Linked DNA regions of Caenorhabditis elegans. The protein of the gene in region 3 purifies or fractionates together with the protein of the main gene of each other region. This does not show direct contact. Each region holds a gene or a part of one and is shown on either strand. Other genes may lie near its edges.

The links.
Region 1: the proteins of syp-3 (region 3) and brc-1 purify together in Caenorhabditis elegans (affinity purification with western blotting, with the first as the bait; one study listed by BioGRID). This does not show direct contact.
Region 2: the proteins of syp-3 (region 3) and brd-1 purify together in Caenorhabditis elegans (affinity purification with western blotting, with the first as the bait; one study listed by BioGRID). This does not show direct contact.

The regions. Positions count from the first base shown.
Region 1 is NC_003281.10:3,859,490-3,865,057, forward strand, and holds the start of brc-1 (Breast cancer type 1 susceptibility protein homolog), read right to left. Parts: upstream 3,470-5,568; coding exon 3,399-3,469; intron 3,346-3,398; coding exon 3,000-3,345; intron 2,544-2,999; coding exon 2,315-2,543; intron 2,266-2,314; coding exon 2,192-2,265; intron 2,130-2,191; coding exon 1,791-2,129; intron 1-1,790. Other genes in the region: acs-19 (Acetyl-coenzyme A synthetase), read left to right, coding at 5,016-5,075, 5,126-5,568. UniProt on the Caenorhabditis elegans protein: E3 ubiquitin-protein ligase that specifically mediates the formation of polyubiquitin chains and plays a central role in DNA repair.
Region 2 is NC_003281.10:6,884,413-6,891,716, reverse strand, and holds brd-1 (BRCA1-associated RING domain protein 1), read left to right. Parts: upstream 1-2,212; 5' UTR 2,213-2,221; coding exon 2,222-2,283; intron 2,284-2,326; coding exon 2,327-2,386; intron 2,387-2,435; coding exon 2,436-2,604; intron 2,605-2,647; coding exon 2,648-2,823; intron 2,824-2,831; exon of another isoform or gene 2,832-2,914; intron 2,915-3,035; exon of another isoform or gene 3,036-3,126; intron 3,127-3,140; coding exon 3,141-3,200; intron 3,201-3,248; coding exon 3,249-3,426; intron 3,427-3,479; coding exon 3,480-3,788; intron 3,789-3,913; exon of another isoform or gene 3,914-4,001; intron 4,002-4,082; coding exon 4,083-4,296; intron 4,297-4,338; coding exon 4,339-4,539; intron 4,540-4,591; coding exon 4,592-4,689; intron 4,690-4,731; coding exon 4,732-4,847; intron 4,848-5,799; coding exon 5,800-5,959; intron 5,960-6,008; coding exon 6,009-6,069; intron 6,070-6,118; coding exon 6,119-6,261; intron 6,262-6,340; coding exon 6,341-6,442; 3' UTR 6,443-6,510; downstream 6,511-7,304. Other genes in the region: K04C2.5 (INSulin related), read left to right, coding at 113-233, 415-534, 588-673; K04C2.2 (DNA polymerase V), read right to left, coding at 732-922, 970-1,057, 1,102-1,293, 1,350-1,550, 1,597-1,788, 1,841-1,942; med-2 (GATA-type domain-containing protein), read right to left, coding at 6,690-7,214. UniProt on the Caenorhabditis elegans protein: Constituent of the CeBCD complex that possesses E3 ubiquitin-protein ligase activity.
Region 3 is NC_003279.8:8,662,380-8,666,489, forward strand, and holds syp-3 (Synaptonemal complex protein 3), read right to left. Parts: upstream 1,742-4,110; 5' UTR 1,736-1,741; coding exon 1,633-1,735; intron 1,580-1,632; coding exon 1,532-1,579; intron 1,489-1,531; coding exon 1,235-1,488; intron 1,171-1,234; coding exon 1,104-1,170; intron 1,058-1,103; coding exon 855-1,057; 3' UTR 681-854; downstream 1-680. Other genes in the region: mrt-1 (5' exonuclease Apollo), read left to right, coding at 1-80, 127-381, 482-680; F39H2.3 (Aminomethyltransferase folate-binding domain-containing protein), read left to right, coding at 2,597-2,700, 2,756-2,988, 3,031-3,188, 3,259-3,343, 3,478-3,572, 3,688-3,855. UniProt on the Caenorhabditis elegans protein: Plays a role in early meiotic events; during prophase I contributes to synaptonemal complex (SC) assembly, synapsis and chiasmata formation and stabilization of homologous chromosomes pairing.

The DNA.
Region 1 (5,568 bases), on a different chromosome or scaffold from region 3:
CGGCGAACGCGATGAGAAGAAAGTGGAGAGTTCAGTTTTGAGATGCTCTTCGTCGTCGAATTGCTTGTCGCGCATGTAGTCACTGAGAGACAAGAACAAATGGTAGTCGGTTGGTGCAAGATCTGGAGAATATGGTGGATGCGGTAAAACAGTCCAACCAAGATCTTGCAGCTTTTGGAAAGTCTTCTTGGCGACATGAGGCCTAGCATTATCGTGAAGAAAATATAGTTTTTCATATTTTCCGTTGGTCTTTTCTGCAACTCGGTCCAATTGGGCACAATAGTAATCAGCAGTGATAGTTTTATTAGTTGGCAACAATTCCCAGTGCACGGGTCCTTGAACACCCCACCAGACACAGATCATAATCTTTTTTGGGTGAAGATCAGGCTTTGGCGTCGGTATTCCTTTCTCACCGATCGGAAGCCATTGACGTTTTCTGGAATGGTTAACATAGAGCACCCACTTCTCATCTCCAGTAACCAGATTGTTCAGCCAATCGAACTTTCGACGAAAAGTTAGAAGTTGAGTACAAACGTTGACCCGAGTGAGCTTCTGTGATGCCGAAAGTTCATGAGGCACCCAAATTCCAAGTTTTGAAGTAAAACCAAGGCGACCCAAGTGACGTGCAATTGTGCTATGACAACACTCAAGCTTCTCTTCCATTTCACGAAGACTAAGACGAGGCTCTTCCTCCACCAGCTTCACTAGGTCTTCTTCATTTAACTCTACCGGTCGCCCAGAACGTTCTATTTCTTCGAGACTGAAGTCGCCGTTCTTGAACTTTTGAAACCAACTCTTTGCTGTATTATAAGAGAGTGCTCCCTCACCCATCGCACCGCATATGTTTCGTTCCGCTTCCATTGCTGAATGACCAAGACGAAATTCATAAAGAAGAAGCAATCTAACGTCTCGACGTTCAAGTTTGATGATTGTCATCGTGGCAAAGTAGAAATGGATGAAATGAATCTTTTCTGAAAGGGGACGACCCGACCTTGACACGACCTACGATGAAAAAATTTTAAAACTTTCTAGAAGTTTTGGAAAAATATTTGAAAAAAAGTACAAAAACTTATGGGACAACCTGATATTTAAAAAAAAATTGCTTAAAAATTTATTTTCAAATTTTTTCTTTAAAGTTATGCTCGAAATTATAACAAAAATGGAAATTTTGAATGAAAAAATATTTGCATTTTCTCAAAATTATGTTTTTTTTTCGGGTTCAGCACTTTTTTATAAAACAATTCAACTTTTTTTAAAATTAAAATTGAATTTTTCTGTTGAAAACCATATATTCCAGGGGTGTGCGGCAAATCGCAAAATTTGCCGAGCTCGGCAAATTCGGCAAATCTCTTTGTTCAATATTTGCCGAGCACGGCAAATTCGGCAAATTTGCCGAGCTCGGCTAATTCGGCAAATTCGGCAAATTTGCCGTGCTTAACAAACTCGGAAATTTTTGATATTTTTTGATGTTTTTGGACCACCAAAACTACCGAATTCTTAACACACATCTGGCTTCGGAATCAGTTCCGTGTAGTATGTCTGCTTAAGCATCAAAATAACTCAATTTTGTGTCATTTTACTGAATTTTTGGCGAAAAAATCAGTAGTTTTAGTCGAAATTGTACTGTCAAATTTTTGACGTGTGCGGCAAATTTCGAAATTTGCCGAGCTCGGCAAATTCGGCAAATCAACTTTTTTGAAATTTGCCGAGCTCGGCAAACGACAAATTCGGCAAATTTGCCGCACACCCCTGATATATTCTGCACACAATGATTTTCCTATATTTCTTACACTTGTAGCACAGGTAACATTTGCCAGATCATCTTCATCAATTTGTAGTTCTCCTTCAGAATCTTCTACAACTTCATCATCATCTGATGCTACGACCACTGGCTTTTTCACTGCAGTATTTAGATTCAAATCGATCAAATTTTGAGTACTTTTGAAAACTTCAGGCTTTTGGGCTAGTTTTTGGATTGGCTCAGGAGGAGTTTCCAGCGATTCAGAAGCTGTCATAATTTTTATGTTTTCAAGATCTTGAGAACTCGCAAAGGATACTCTTCGATTCGCTGGTTTCTCTGATTTTTTCGGTGGCGCCACATGGAATTTCTCCATTAGCTGATTGATATTCTGCAAAAAATATTTTATTTCAAAAATTATTTTCCTCTAAATAAGCCCGAATCATCACAAACATTTCGAAGAAATTGTCGCATCGTCGGCATTAATTGGAAAAGTGCATCGATTTCATCAATCTCTGTCGAATTTTCTGGAAAATTGGCAAAAATTAGCGAATTTTTTTTTGATTTTTGACCAACCTCGGAGGGTATTTATGTATTCTTCAATATCAACATTTTTCAGTTCTTCTCTTGATATTTTATACGTTTCTGTAGAGGTTTCCACGTCTTTTTTCAATTTTTCCAGCGGGAATACTCGACTTTGGAGCTCTACAGGTTGTTTTGTGGCTGGTTCTGGCGGTTCTACCGGTTCTGCAGGCTCCTCGGCGAATGCGCTCGGCGGTTGTGGTCGACTCGGTCGCTTTCGGCGCTGAAAATACAGATTTAATGTTAATAGAGTCAAAATAGCCCAAAAAGGCCGAATTTTTTAATGATAACTTCGAAAAACGGACTAAATTATGCAAAAACTCAAAATTTTTCAACTATTTAGCTAATTAGCAATTTGTATTGCATTTTTAATTTTTTTTCCCAAAAAAATACACTAGAAAATGTAACTATAGAGTCCAGTTTTCCAAACAAAAAAAAAGTAAAAAATATTTCTTTTCTGCTTTTTTCGTGTTTTTGACGAAATTTTTTCGCAGTCCGCTATGATTTTCAGTCAGAAATTAGCAAATCGATGAAAAAAGTGTGTAATAAAATTATTAAAAATTGATTTAATCGCTATACGACACAAAAAAAGGTGAAAAATGTTTTTATTTGACATTTTAGAAATATTTTTAGTGATTTTCTTTTGGTTTTAATTGGTTTTTTGTGCCAAAAAGCATACCACTGGCAAAAAAGGTATAGCAAAATCTGGAGCGCATCGTTTTCCATCATTCTCTGGAATAATCGTGATATCCAGCGGCATTTGACTTTCCATGAACATTTTCTCTGGCGGCAGTGACTTGAACGTATTCATATTCTCAATATCTTTTTTAAATGCTTCTGATAGCTTTAAATAGTTCTGCACAGCCATTGTAATTTGATAAGTATCTCGACAACTTCGCTTATCCAGTACACTTCTACAAATTGGGCATTGAACTTTTCGTTTTCGTTCGAAGCAAGCGTTAATGCAAGAACGACAGAAAATATGGAAACATGTGGACAGAATTGGATCTTTGTATGTTGAACAGCTGAAAAAAAACCAATTTAAGGTTTTTTTGTTGATTTTTTGAAAATAAATTACCAAATTCCACATTTCAGTTCTTTTTGCAGTCGTGCCACTGTTTCTGTGATCCTCAGTGCAACATCTGCCATCTGAAATTAAATTTTAAACAAATAACATTTCATTTTAATTGAAAAATCAATAAAGTAGGTTAAAATACAAAATATTTGATTTCAAAACTCCCGCGCTGAGGGGGCATCAGAGAACACTCATTGCAAACCTGCTCCACTGACAATCGGGGCGGAGTAAAGCGGAGAGGAGAGAGCGCCCCGCCTCCCCGCCGGTGCCTATATTTCAGTCGGTGCCCCCGGTCTTCGCCAGCATCCCCGCTTTTCCTCTCCCTTCTCTGATGACTCTCTTGTTTTTCCATATTCTATCAAGGAAATTCCCTTTGGAAATCCTGAGACTTCAAGCTACGGAGAATATTTTTTTTTAGAAAAAGAAAGAAAAAAAGAAGAAAGAGTGCGCGAAAACGATGCTGCTTTTTCGGTTTTCTATCTTTTTTTCTTCTTTTTCGGCTTTGAAAAAAAAAACATTTTCTGGATGGTAGCTCTTTTTGGGAAAGCTTTATGCAGTAGTTTTCAGTTAGTTTAGCTGCTAAATATCATTTTTGCAAGGTTCCGTTCAAACAAATTTTGCAAACACGAATTTTTCTTTTTATAATATTTTACTTTAATATTCTGCTTTTTAAAAAAATTTTAAAACCAAGATTAAAGATATATAATCTGCTTTTTTCCTCAAAATCTAGATGATAAAATTTTTAGAAAACTAATGTAGTTCAAAAAACTCCACATCTTCTCTTAACTCAAAAAAAAACAATTTTTATAAAAAGAGACATTTTTGCCGTTTGTCGCGATAACTTGCTTTATTAAAATGCCAAATGTGGTTTTTTAATAAAGTAATTAATTAATGTTATTGATTATTCAAATTTTGAGAAAAAAACATAATCAAGCCTTTAAAAATCATTAAAAAAGCAGAAAAAAAACACAAAACACACTATAAAAATTAATTTTTTAAAAAAATTTAATTGAGCAATTAGTGCAATTTTTCGTAACGGTGCTTGCGTACTGTGCACTTGATCCGACGACATCTACAGTACTAACTTTCTCATCTTATTTTTTTAAACGTTTCCACGTCAAATTTTCAACTTTCCCGGCGGTAATTTTCAGATTTTCATAATCAATTCTGACCAAAATACCAGCAAAACTCTGCACTCGAAGGTCAATTTTATTTATTTTCTCTCACTTTTTCCTCTCTCCGCCGTCCCCTTTCGTCCACCGTTTGACCCCATTGATCACACACAACCGTAGATTTGTTTTCTGATCGTTCTTCGAAATTCGTTTATCAGAGAACTGTTCAAACCGAATTTTAGGAGTAGTTTGAAATATAGAACGTGACTTTACTGGTAACAAATTGTGAGAAATCTAATAAATAGAAGAAAAAACGAAACGAAATTGTATTTCTCGCGTTGTGTTATTGAGTTTGTTTTCTCCAGTTTTCCTTTTTTTCTTTCTATTTTCTTTTCTTTTCCAAGTGTTTGTTCTTTGTCCTGCTCACGGTTTATGGTGCCATATTTCGCATGTTTTACCGCATTTTCTTATCATAAAGTGCCTCATTTTCAGGTTATTGCATCTCATCATGTCGGACGTTCGCGTCAAGTTCAACCTAGCCAACGATGGAGAAGGTCTCGACGAGGATGTAAGAATTTATTTCTTCGAAAGAATACTTTTAAAACCAATAGATTTCAGATTTTCCTCCCTCCAGCCCCACTCCTTGCCGGTGCTCACTGTGCTGGCCTTCAATCTTACCACGATTTGTACCGTTCCTCGATCAACGATGCTGACGAGTTCTGGCGTACCGTCTCATCTGAACTCCATTTCGAACAAGGAACCTCTAAGGGTCTCGAATGGAATTTCGACTCGAAAGCTGGAAATGTCTTCGTCAAGTTTATGGATGGAGCCAAGACTAACATCTCGTACAACTGTTTGGAAAGAAACATTAAACGTGGATATGGAAACAAAATCGCCTACATTTTCGAAGGAAACGAGCCAACCGACACCTCCACCTGGACATACAACGAGCTACACGCCCAAGTAGTCCAATTCTCCGCTGTTCTGAGATCTCATGGCGTCAAACGAGGCGATGTGGTTGCTTTATATCTTCCAATGATTCCCGAATTAGCAGTTGCAAT
Region 2 (7,304 bases), on a different chromosome or scaffold from region 3:
TCAATGAACAATGCTTCTTCTTTTTCTTCTTTCTTTCATCTATTTCTCATCTTTTTGTTGAACTACGTATTAGTTTTTCATCACTTTGGCAATACTAAATTTGGAACTCAAAATGACAAAATGCTCAATTATTATCGGAATTTTTCTGATCGCGGCAATCAATGGACAAGCGTCTAAAAGGCGGATTCAGTACGAATCGGTTTCACAGTTTTTGTTTCATAACTCTAAATTATGTAAGTTAGAAAATCAATTTAAATTCAAATTTAATCTGTATTATGTAATAACACAAAAGAATAATCTTATAGTATATTTCAGAAATGTTGTAAACGATTTCTGAATTAATTCTTCATAATTTACCAGCATACATTTTTAAGATACAAGAAATTAAATATTGTTCCAACACTTTTTTTACAGGCGGTGATCCATTTTCTGATGCTGTCTGGCTTCCTGTACTCGATTTATGTTCTATCGAGTGTGAAATAACATCCGAATATTGTGTGGAAAATGAGGAACTTACACAACAATGCAAGAAATGTATGTTTTCGATGTTTAGAAGAAAGCTTGAGTTTTAAAAAATCTTTTTTCAGTACCGGAAGATTGCCAGGCTCTTCTCCGAAAAGCAATCAAACAAATTCAGAGACATATTCGATCACAAAAGCCAGTTTACCTTTAGATAATTTCTATCTCACTAATTTTTGTAAATTTGAACAATAAAGACTCTTGAATATTACCTTTTTACTCATCAATCTGAATTGTCCTTTTCCACGTGTAGCGGTCTCCATTCGATTCAAAACTTCTTTAGTAAATACTACAACAATTGATTTCACATCGCCTCCAAAATCAAAGAATTGAGTGACAATCGTGAGAATTCTATCGAAAACTTTCGTCTCGTTGCTTGAAAGGGCCCATGGCTCGAGAACTTCTGAAAATGAGAATTTATAAAAAAAACTTTTCAAAAGTATAACTTACTCAGGTACATTTTATCAAAACCAGATGATTCAACTGATGCTTTGATGAGAAGTGGAAGAAATACTTGAACTGTGGCGAAGTCACAGCGCTGAAAATAAAGTATTTATAAAAATTTTAAAATAGAAAACTAACCTTTAAAGCAGCCAAAATTTTAGGATACTGATCATCAGAAAATTGAATAGATCCGTCTTTCTTTACAAACTTTGCGTATTTTGCAACCACTGTTGAATGAGAATTACGAAGGCGAAGTGCCAGGTAGACATTTTCCGGTGTGAACTGAGAGCTGAGACCTTCCAAATTCATTTCGATGGCTGGGGATACACTCTGAAATTTAAAAATTAATATAGATTTGTTTTTGTTCAAACAGTAAATTGATTTACCTTTTGGAAAACACTTTCTTTTGTCTTTGTAGCCAAACTGCATAGAAGGTTAATCTGTGAAAATGCCAAGCTTGGAGCAAAGTCTCTGATTTTCTTCGAATGCTCAACAATTTTTGTAGCTTCTGCTTCTTTGAGTTTTCTGGTTTGACAATATGTGACAAGAATAAGATAATGTCCAATTGCATGTCCGGTACCAACAGTCTGAATCGAAACATTTAGTACAAATAAAGGAACTTACAATCCCAACCTTTTCTGCCAGGTCCATCTTTTTATCTGCAACGGCCAATATTTTGTCGAGTTCCCATGATTCGCCTGCTTTTGTCATTAAAATAGTACCCAAAGCGGTTGTATATCCCAAACGAACAGCAGCACGAGCTGAAGCACATCCAGAAATAAGACGTTCAATCACATATGTGTTGAGCTCGTTATCGGATAATTCCTAAAAAAATAACACTTTAATTAGGCATTTATTTCAGCTACTTTTTTCCTACCTCTTGTTTGCTTGAAAGCTGTCTAACTGCTCCTTTTCTGACTAATGGATCGAGCTCAGCAAGCTTTGAAATAATATCGAGTAATTCACTTGGCGGTCTCATGCTTAAAACTTAAAATTATAATTAAAAAGAGAATAAATTGACGAGAGGATCATTCTCGTGAATTTTCCAGACCAAGTAAACTGTATTTTTCTATAAAACACAAAAAATAAATGTAATTTTAGTTTAATGAAAGAAAAAGAAATAGAAGTAAAATATTTTGTTCGTAAAATAAAATGTATTCTGTGCGCACGCACCACACCTGACGCGCAAACAAACAAGTGCGATTTTCGAATTTTATTCTTTTCCTGTTTGATTTAATTATTGTTTCAGCGTCAAATAATGTTTGAAAACACTAAAAAAGCATTGGAAACGTTTCGAACAGCTATCGAGTGTGTTAAATGGTAAGTTGTTGTACAAGATTTTGCCTCTTAAATAAAATTTCAGCAAAAAACCGAGGGGAGACTTGCAATATCTCGGATCATCTTGCAAACATGCTTATTGCTGGTAGGTATTGCAACCTAATAAATTGTCAATAACTTCAGTTTATGTTCAGGGAATGTATCGCCACATTTCAACAGAAACCGTCTGGAAAACGCTCTTCAGTGGCTCGACACATGTGTCCGAGTTGTGCTTTCCCACTAGACACATCCAAAATCACAGAAGCTCATATGCTGAAAACGTGCTTTGATACTTTGTCTGAACTAAACGACCTTTTACAGAAAGTAAGTCAATGGTGAAAAGCTCGAAAATTAAATTCTCATTTAGGTCGGAACAACATCTCTAACTCAAGCAGAGTTTGCCTGTACACAAAACATTTTTAACAAAGAAAAAACTCCAGCTGATGCCGTAGAGAAATTCCTGGAGACGCAAGCTCATATGCCAGACGAGATGGGACAACTTGGTGAAGAGGATGATGATTTGATGTGTAAAGATGAAAACCGGTAAGTCGAAAAAATCTGCGTTCGGGGGGAATCGAACCCCCGTCGAATGCTTGGAAGGCATCCATGCTGACCATTACACCACGAACGCGACATATCGGGGATATCTTTCCGAGAAAACGATTCCCGTCATGCTTCTTCTACAAACCTGATGCGGTCTATTTGGTGGCTTCAAGTAGAAATGTCTCTTCATTTAATAGCTGGTTTCCCATGCCGCGTTCGTGGTGTAATGGTCAGCATGGATGCCTTCCAAGCATTCGACGGGGGTTCGATTCCCCCCGAACGCAGAACTTTTTTTCATATTTTCCCAGTAAATTCAGGGAAAATTCAAACTCTCCAGAATTGGATATATTCCACGACTACAGCAAAGAAGCTTCTCCGTGAGTTTGTTACATTGCTTCAATTAATTGAATTTTATTTACTTTTAGAACGCGTAATTCGACAAAACGCCCTTCAACTGTCAGTGTTCATGAGAGAAAACCCAAAAGGTCATCGATACTGAAAACTTCCGTCAAAAATGAACCGGCTGCGCCTGTAGTTGATCTTTTTGCATCGCAAGTTCCGCAGAGAACTCATCAAAATGATTTACTGACGCCGTTTATTGAGGTATGACAATTTCACTTTAAAGACGCTTCAGAACTTTAACGGAAATTCTTCAGCGTCGCTCAACTGCTCCAGCAGCAACTGGTGTTGCAACGTATGCTCAAGCTTTCGGAAGTAGCAGTAATCCAGTTAAAGCCGAAATTATCGAAGAAGATATTTTCTCGAAAGCGATTCCTCTCACAAAACGGCAAGCTTCAATGAGTGCGAGCGCCAAGAAACAACCAAAATTGGAACCTGAAGAACCAGAAGAAGTACCATCGACGTCTAGAAGTCGTAAAAATTCGATTAAATCCGATAAAATCGAACGACGATCTCAATCACCGATGAGTTTTGGAGAGAAGTCGATGAGTGTGAAATCAGAGCAAGTGAGTGACTTCAATAAAAGAGTTTTCGGGCGTTCGTCTTTCTACTCTGTCACGCTCAACGTCCACATTATCTTGTTGTCTGCGCCTCTGTCCCTTACTTAACAAGTCTTTGCATCACAGCACGCATGGCCTCCTTAGCTCAGTTGGTAGAGCGTGAGACTTTTAATCTTAAGGTCAGGGGTTCGAGTCCCCTAGGTGGCTTGACTTTTTTTTTTGAAAATTGAACTTGATCTCTACGCCTTCATTCCAATTTTCACATTTTCGCAAACTTTTTGCAATTTTTTAAATGTTCAGCGTCGCAGTTCTTATGGTACTCGTCGTGGTGAAGCTGTCCTGGTCAATTCAATTCGCAATAATCGTATTCCTCAACTTCGAAGTGCTGTAGAGGCAGGAACGTGCGTAAATGAGAAAGAAGACGGAAAGACACCACTTTACGTGGCAGTTGAGAATAGCTCATTGGAAGCTGTTAAGATACTTGTTGAAGCGGGTGCAGTTATTAATGCTTCATGTAAGAAACAACTTCTATCAACTTTCTTGACGAAGAATTCAGGCGGCTCAACATTAGAAACAACGCTTCACGAGGCTGTTCGCCGTCAAAATACTCAAATTGTTGAATATCTTTTATCGAAAGGTGCCAGCATCAAAATTCGAAATATTGCTGGAAAAACTGTCGAAGAAATGGCTAAAAGTGATCCGAAAATTAGGAAAATAATCGAAAAATTCAAGACTGAACAGAGAGTTTTACAGCCTGGTAAGAAATTTTTTGACAATTTTATTCTTCGTGATAAAAATTGAATTTTCAGTCGTCGCCCCTCCAAAATCTCGTCTTCATTTCGTTCAACTCATAGATGAGAAGATGCTCACTGAATCTGAAAAACGAAAACTTCCCGGAAAAATCAATGTAAAAACAATTAATTTTTAAAAATAAAATAAATTTATTCAGATAGTTCCTGCTGATATGGATTCTCCGACGCATGTGGTAGTCACCGTTGATTTGAAAACTCGTGTGCTCAATATTAACAAGGAGCATATTGGAGAAATTTTAAAAGCTATCATAAAGTAGGTTTTTAAAATTATCCTAAAAAGTGGGAGATAGTCATTTTGGGATTTTTAATGTCAGAAAATAGACCGTAATGACAGACTATAGCTGTTAAGAAATTAATTTTTTCGAAATTTTTCAAAAAATGGGCTACTTATTTTTAAATTCTCGCGCAAATAAATGGAAGGCATTTGTTCGTAAGAAAACGCATGATAATCAGAAAGAAATTCGCTGAAACTTCAAAATTGAATTGAAAGTCGATAATTTCACATTTATTCATCTTTTTTTTTGCTTAAAAAATTTATGAAAATCTGACAATCTTCGGAACATCAAGCAAAAATCACGAAAAGCGTTCGAATTTAGCCATTCATTTGCACGAGAGTTCAAAACTAATCAGAACTTATTATTTTTCCAAAGCTGAAATAATTTTTTAACAGTTATATTCGGTAATTATGGTCTATTTTCTATCATTCCTTCAAATCAGGTCGCAATGCATTACATATTTATTGGAGATAAAAAGATAATTAGGCACGAACACAGGCTCCTGCCACACATTTTTTTCCAACTGGACAGTCAAAAGTACAAGGTTCATCAGCATTTTCGTCAGTGATAACAACTCCACCACTTGCATGATTTGAAAAAAGACATTGTCCATAAACACAAAGCCTATTATCCGAGCAATCCGAATCAGTTCGACATTCTGCTTTCTTTGCATTAACATAAATTGAAAGAAGAAGAAGAAGGAAACACTGCAAAATTAGTTTTGAATATTAGCAAAAGTAGTATATAACTCACCAGAAACACCTTCATTTCAGTTTCACAGTGGCTCGATTGTATTATAAAATGCGTTTCCCTGTCTAGTTATAGACTGATCCCATGGGAAAATTGCAAACAATCGCAAGGGTGCAGTATGAGAGCCAAAAAAATCTATGTGAAAATATGAAATTTCAAAGCGGAAATTCATACTTTCAGATCGGGAATGATAGTTAGTCGAGATTGGCTGAGAGCGTGCATTATTGATCCATCGAAAGTCGATGATGATCGTTCTTATATGGTTCAGAAAGTTAGATGGATGGAAGGTGAAGTATTTGAAAATACTATTGAACAATGGAAGAAGACAATCACTAAAATGGTACGGATTTGATTTCCACTAAAGAAAAAAATACAACCAAATTTTTCAGCAACCAAAATTGTTCGCCGGTTGCAAATTTTTCATTCCAAAGCCAAAGTATAACTTCCTCGGTACGATTCTAATTTACAGTATTTTAATTTTTTCAATTTTCAATTTCAGATCGCCCAGCTCTTTTTGAAATTATTCGATCTGCCGGTGGTCAAGCTGCAGCGAGGGAGCCCATTATTGACGAAAAAGATCCACCGCCGTACCATAATGCCAACTTGAAACCAAACTTTGTGCTCTACAGCTTGACACATGATGTAAGTTTAACGAAGGAGTTTTCCTGTTATTATGGATTCGGTAGTTTCAGTTTGGTGACATTTTTATTTCTCTTTACAGATAGGAGACAAATTCCGCGACTGCACAAAGTACAATCTTGTCAGCGAGCAGTGGTTAATAGAGGCGATTCTTGGATGCTCCATCACAACACCACCACATTAACCATTTTCCGTTTTAAAATATTTTCTTTTGCGTTTCTATTGTAAAATTGCAATATGAATGATTATTTTTTGAAGTGTTATTTTATACACAACGGCATCCAATCCATGCAATTAAAGTTATGATGTAATTAAAATCGAGAACAAGATATAAATATAAGTTATGAGATCATATTAATTAAAAACAATTTACCGGCTTAAAACAAGAAAATTACAATTGAGTTATACAATTTACAATGATACAATTTACATTAAGAAGAATCTACACCATTCGTTTCCTGTACCTTTAATTTTCTTTTTTGATATTTGTTAACGGCAGTGACTGGACGAGTCTCATTATATTTCCGTTGATAAATAAAACAAGCATTACATTGAATTCCTTCCTTTGATCGAATATTCCTCCAACGAATTGTTTCAGTTACTGAACAATTTGAGCATTGAAATGACTTCTTATTATCAGAATTGCTCGGTGGAGTTGAACTTTGAGTAGAGGTAGATGGAGATGTAGATGGAGTAGAAAAATGAGTAAACGTGGTGAAATGGGAAGAATTAGGACTTCCAGTAGTTGGTGAAATATTTAAAGATGAAGAATCCATTGCAGTTGGATAATAAGAAGCATAAGTATTGACATAGTCATAGTAGTTATTATAATAAGAATAGTCAGTAGTGAAGGAGTATGTACCATTGAATGGAGTTGAATAATCATAGAATCCAACTTGTTGCTGGGTATTGTCAAAGACATTTTCAGCATTGAAAACTGGGTACGGATAAGCCATAGTGATAGAGAGAAGGAATAAAGTATGAATACTGACTCAAACTGATATTCTTTGGGCTCTTTTACTGTAGACCACACCCACTAGAAATGA
Region 3 (4,110 bases):
TCAGATTTATTAGACTTTTCATCAAACTGTGGAGTTTTGAAACAGTATCGAGATATTAAAGTTATCAAAAAAGGAAGCTAGTACGGCTTTCCATTTTTAAACACATCAAATAATCCTTTATTTTAGTTGTGAAATATCTCAAAATTCGGTGATAATCGACATATCGATGCTCTATTATACGTTTGGAAATGGTGTCAACGACGACGAGGGAATCATTAGAATTCCATATTCCGACCACTCTTCAAGAAGTGAAATTCTTAAATTTCTCAGTCATTTTCACTTTAAAACGATTACGCCGTGTACTAAAAAGTATTCTATCATTGAGCTGGCATCTTTGGAAAATGCAGGAAAACGATCAGAAGAGGACCACACAGTAGAAAAGTAAGTTAGTCTCATTATTGAAGCACGACTTTCGAAAAAGGGAAAGTTATTCATATTCCCAAAATTGTGAATTTTAATTAATAGGAACATCTTACTTTAGGACTCAATCTACTATCCAAGGAACACCCATTTCACAACTTCAAGAAGACCCTCTACCGCCTGGAGTTGTATTTCGAACGAATACATGCGATTTTATGGATATGGACTTGGACAATTGGCCGGAAGGACCTCCGAAAACATTTGCGGAAGCTATCGCTCGGGCCAATAATTCAAGAAGGCCGAGAAATCCAGGACTATAATTTATTAAAACTTCACAACGGTTGATGCAATAAAATTAAATATTACATGATAAGCATTCGACATGATGAAAGTTTAGGATAACAGAACGATTTGAAAAAAGATTATTCAATTTTTAATATCATTACAGTTCGATTAACAGTTGCCCACATTTTGGCTGTTCTGATTCTTTTAATTCATGTAGAAAGTCGGGCTTTCAGAGCTTCTTCTTGTAGACGACATTTTTGGTACTCACTGCGCAGTTTGGCAACTTGATAATGGAAAATAATGCGAAGAGTGTTGCGCTCTTTGTAGGTCGCTCCACATGTTGGACGGAGAGAAGGAATCATTTCAGAAATAGTCGATGATTGATCAGCGATGGCGACTTCTAGTTGTTTCTCTGCAAGTTTAGTTGATAATACCATCAAAATTTTTTTTCAACTTACTTTCAATGTTTAATTCATCCAGATTGTTTTTGAGTGAATTGAATTGACCATTCATCGAATCATGTGACTGAAAATATAACATTCAGAAACCCACTCTTTTTAAAAATTATAAAGTTATCGAGCAGACTTACCAAGTTGTTCATCGATTTAATTAATGAATTGAAGTGATCTCCGAACTGTGTACCCGCACTGTCCACATCCTCGTTTTCCAAATAAGACATTAGTTCATCATAGGCTTTTTCTTGTCTCTCTTCCCAGTCTCTTTTCTGTTCAGACAGTTTATTGTCAGTTGCTGTCAAATCCTGAAGCTGTCTTTCTAGACTTTCTCGTTGAGCAGCACATTTAACCCTGTCTTCAGCAATTCGCTCGGTGAATGAAGTTTCGGCTGAAGAAAATTTTAAAGTTGAGCCTTTTTCAATCTGTCAAACCTTCAAGCTGTTGAGTTTCGATTTGCCTCATTCCTTTTTCTATGGCCTCTGAAAATGTATTTTTAAATTCATATTTCATTGATGTTTGCCTCAAAACATACCTCTTTCCCCAGCGAGCGAGTTGGTGAACTCAGTGAGCTGCCCGCAGAAAATTTTGAATCGGTCACCATTTACTGCCTGACTGACAAGCTTTTCGAAATTCATTTATCTCTGAAATTGGAGATATTGAAATGGCCAATTCACAATAGAAAATAAAAATATTTAAAATTAACAAAAAACCGTAGCGTGTTTGCGATCGTTGCGAGACCCACATGACTTAAGAACAACGTGAGCCTTTAAACCGTATGTTTTCATGAACAGTTTTATTTTTATTCACTCATTAAACACACAAAATATTCATTTTTTAAATATGTATTCGCTTCGACAATTTTTAATTCAAATTAATTTTATTAAATTTAAGCAACAACCTACACTCAAAATAAAAAAACTGCGTGGCCTGTACTGCAGAAAACCTCATTTTTAGGCCCCGCCTTTTTCTCGTCCACTCACGGACAAAAGGCAAAAATTTGGGGACCAACCAATATCAGGCCGCCGACATCCTACGGGTTCCGCGCGCCGCTAGGATTAACTCGCTGTGGGCGTGGCGAGCTGTCTCCGCCCGCTGCGAGTTAAACATAGCGGCGCGCGGAACCCGTAGGATGTCGGCGGCATGATATTGGTTGGTCCCCAAATTTTTGCCTCCACTCCGTGAGTGGACGAGAAAAAGGCGGGGCCTAAATATGAGGTTTTCTGCAGTACACGCCACGCAGTTTTTTTATTTTGAGTGTAGTTTGTCCCAAGCTTAGGCAAATTATAATTATTCCCAGCTTTCAATGCGACGTACTTGGTGCTTCATCCTAAATAGTTTGCTGCTAATCCAAGCGCTTGTTTTCTTTTTCAAATTTCCTCGCTCTACTTGCGGCCGCGGACGAAATTATTCGGCACGGCCATATGATCATCCCCGTTGCGAAATTTACTCTAACATATTTTAATATGTTTTCTTGTGATTATCAAACTTTTTTACAGATGTCAACACAAAGATTAATTAAATTGCCTCATAGAGTTCTTTTGAAACTTCATGGCTCTGACACAAACGCGTTTCTTCAAGGTTTAATTACAAATGATGTGACGTATGTTTTTATACTCTAAAAATTACAGCGAAAATGATTACATCTTATTTTGCAGAAAACTTCAAACTCAAAATGGACTTGCTGCTTTTTTGCTCAACACAAAAGGGAGAATTGTTGAAGATGTTCTTCTATGGAGACGAGGAACTGATGATTTGTTCTTGGAATGTTCTAAAGAAAATAAAACTATTTTAACAAAAGAAATCTTGAAATATCGATTGAGGAAACAAGTTGAAATCACCGAATCTTCCGATCAAATATTTTTCACAGAAGATGTATCGGACAAACAAGGTAGAAAATGAACGTCAAAACTTTAATAACATTTTATTTTAGCTCACCGCGATCCTCGATTTTCTGGTTTTGGAGCTCGCGTTTTCGGTAATCCGTCTTCATCGGAAGTTAGCGAAAATCGAGAAAAATATGAAAATTTGCGACGATCTGCTGGAATTGCAGAAGGATCTCAAGAATTGGCGGAGTTGCTTCCTTTTCAGGTAAAAATACAACAGAAGCAATTTAAATGAAATATTTCTAAAAGTTCATTTTCAAATATTATTTTTTAAGGCAAACGGTGATCTGCTCAATATGGTTTCACTTGATAAAGGATGTTATGTTGGACAGGAATTAACTGCAAGAACTGCTCATACAGGTTACTTCAACTAAATTTAGATATTTGGAGACGTGAAATCTCACTTTCCTTTTTATTTAGTAACTTGTCAATTAAATTTTTGTAAAACCCACAAAACTAGTTCAATTTGATTTTGAAAAATTAAATTTTGACAGGTGTTATCCGTCGACGAATCTTACCATTTGAATGTGAAGGTCAAGTCAAAATTGGAGCAGAAGTTCTGGACGAGAAGAAAAATAAAGTCGGAAAGGTGTGTTTAAAAGTTATAGTGATAAAAAATTCATCTAAACGTTGGAATTATCTGGAGTCAATTCACTGTCAAAAATTGAAAAACAATAGTTTCTGTTCAATTAAAAAATCTTCAGATTATCTCTTCTGACACAACTCGTTGCCTGGGAATTCTTCAACTTTCTTCATTCAAATCTCAAAAATTGACAGCTGATGGAGTTTCGTTAACCGCAAAGCAACCTGAATGGATGCCTGATAAGATTTTAGCGAATAATAAAACTAGAACTAGCTTGACGGATTCTTAAATTTTCTATGATATTTAGGAGACATTTCTTTAAATTCGATTTTCATCTTATTCGGAAGTAGACTTTTTTTGAAACACTTTTCTTCTTTTCGTTTTATATTTTTTGTAGATTTTAGTTTCGTTTTCAAGATCACAAATGTTCGTCTTTCTTTAAATTTTAATAATTCGGTTTTATCCCACAAATTTTACGAGATTCTAGTCCCCCAACAAAGTGCTCTCTTCTTCGTATTCGTTTGCTCAATTTTTAATGAATTAT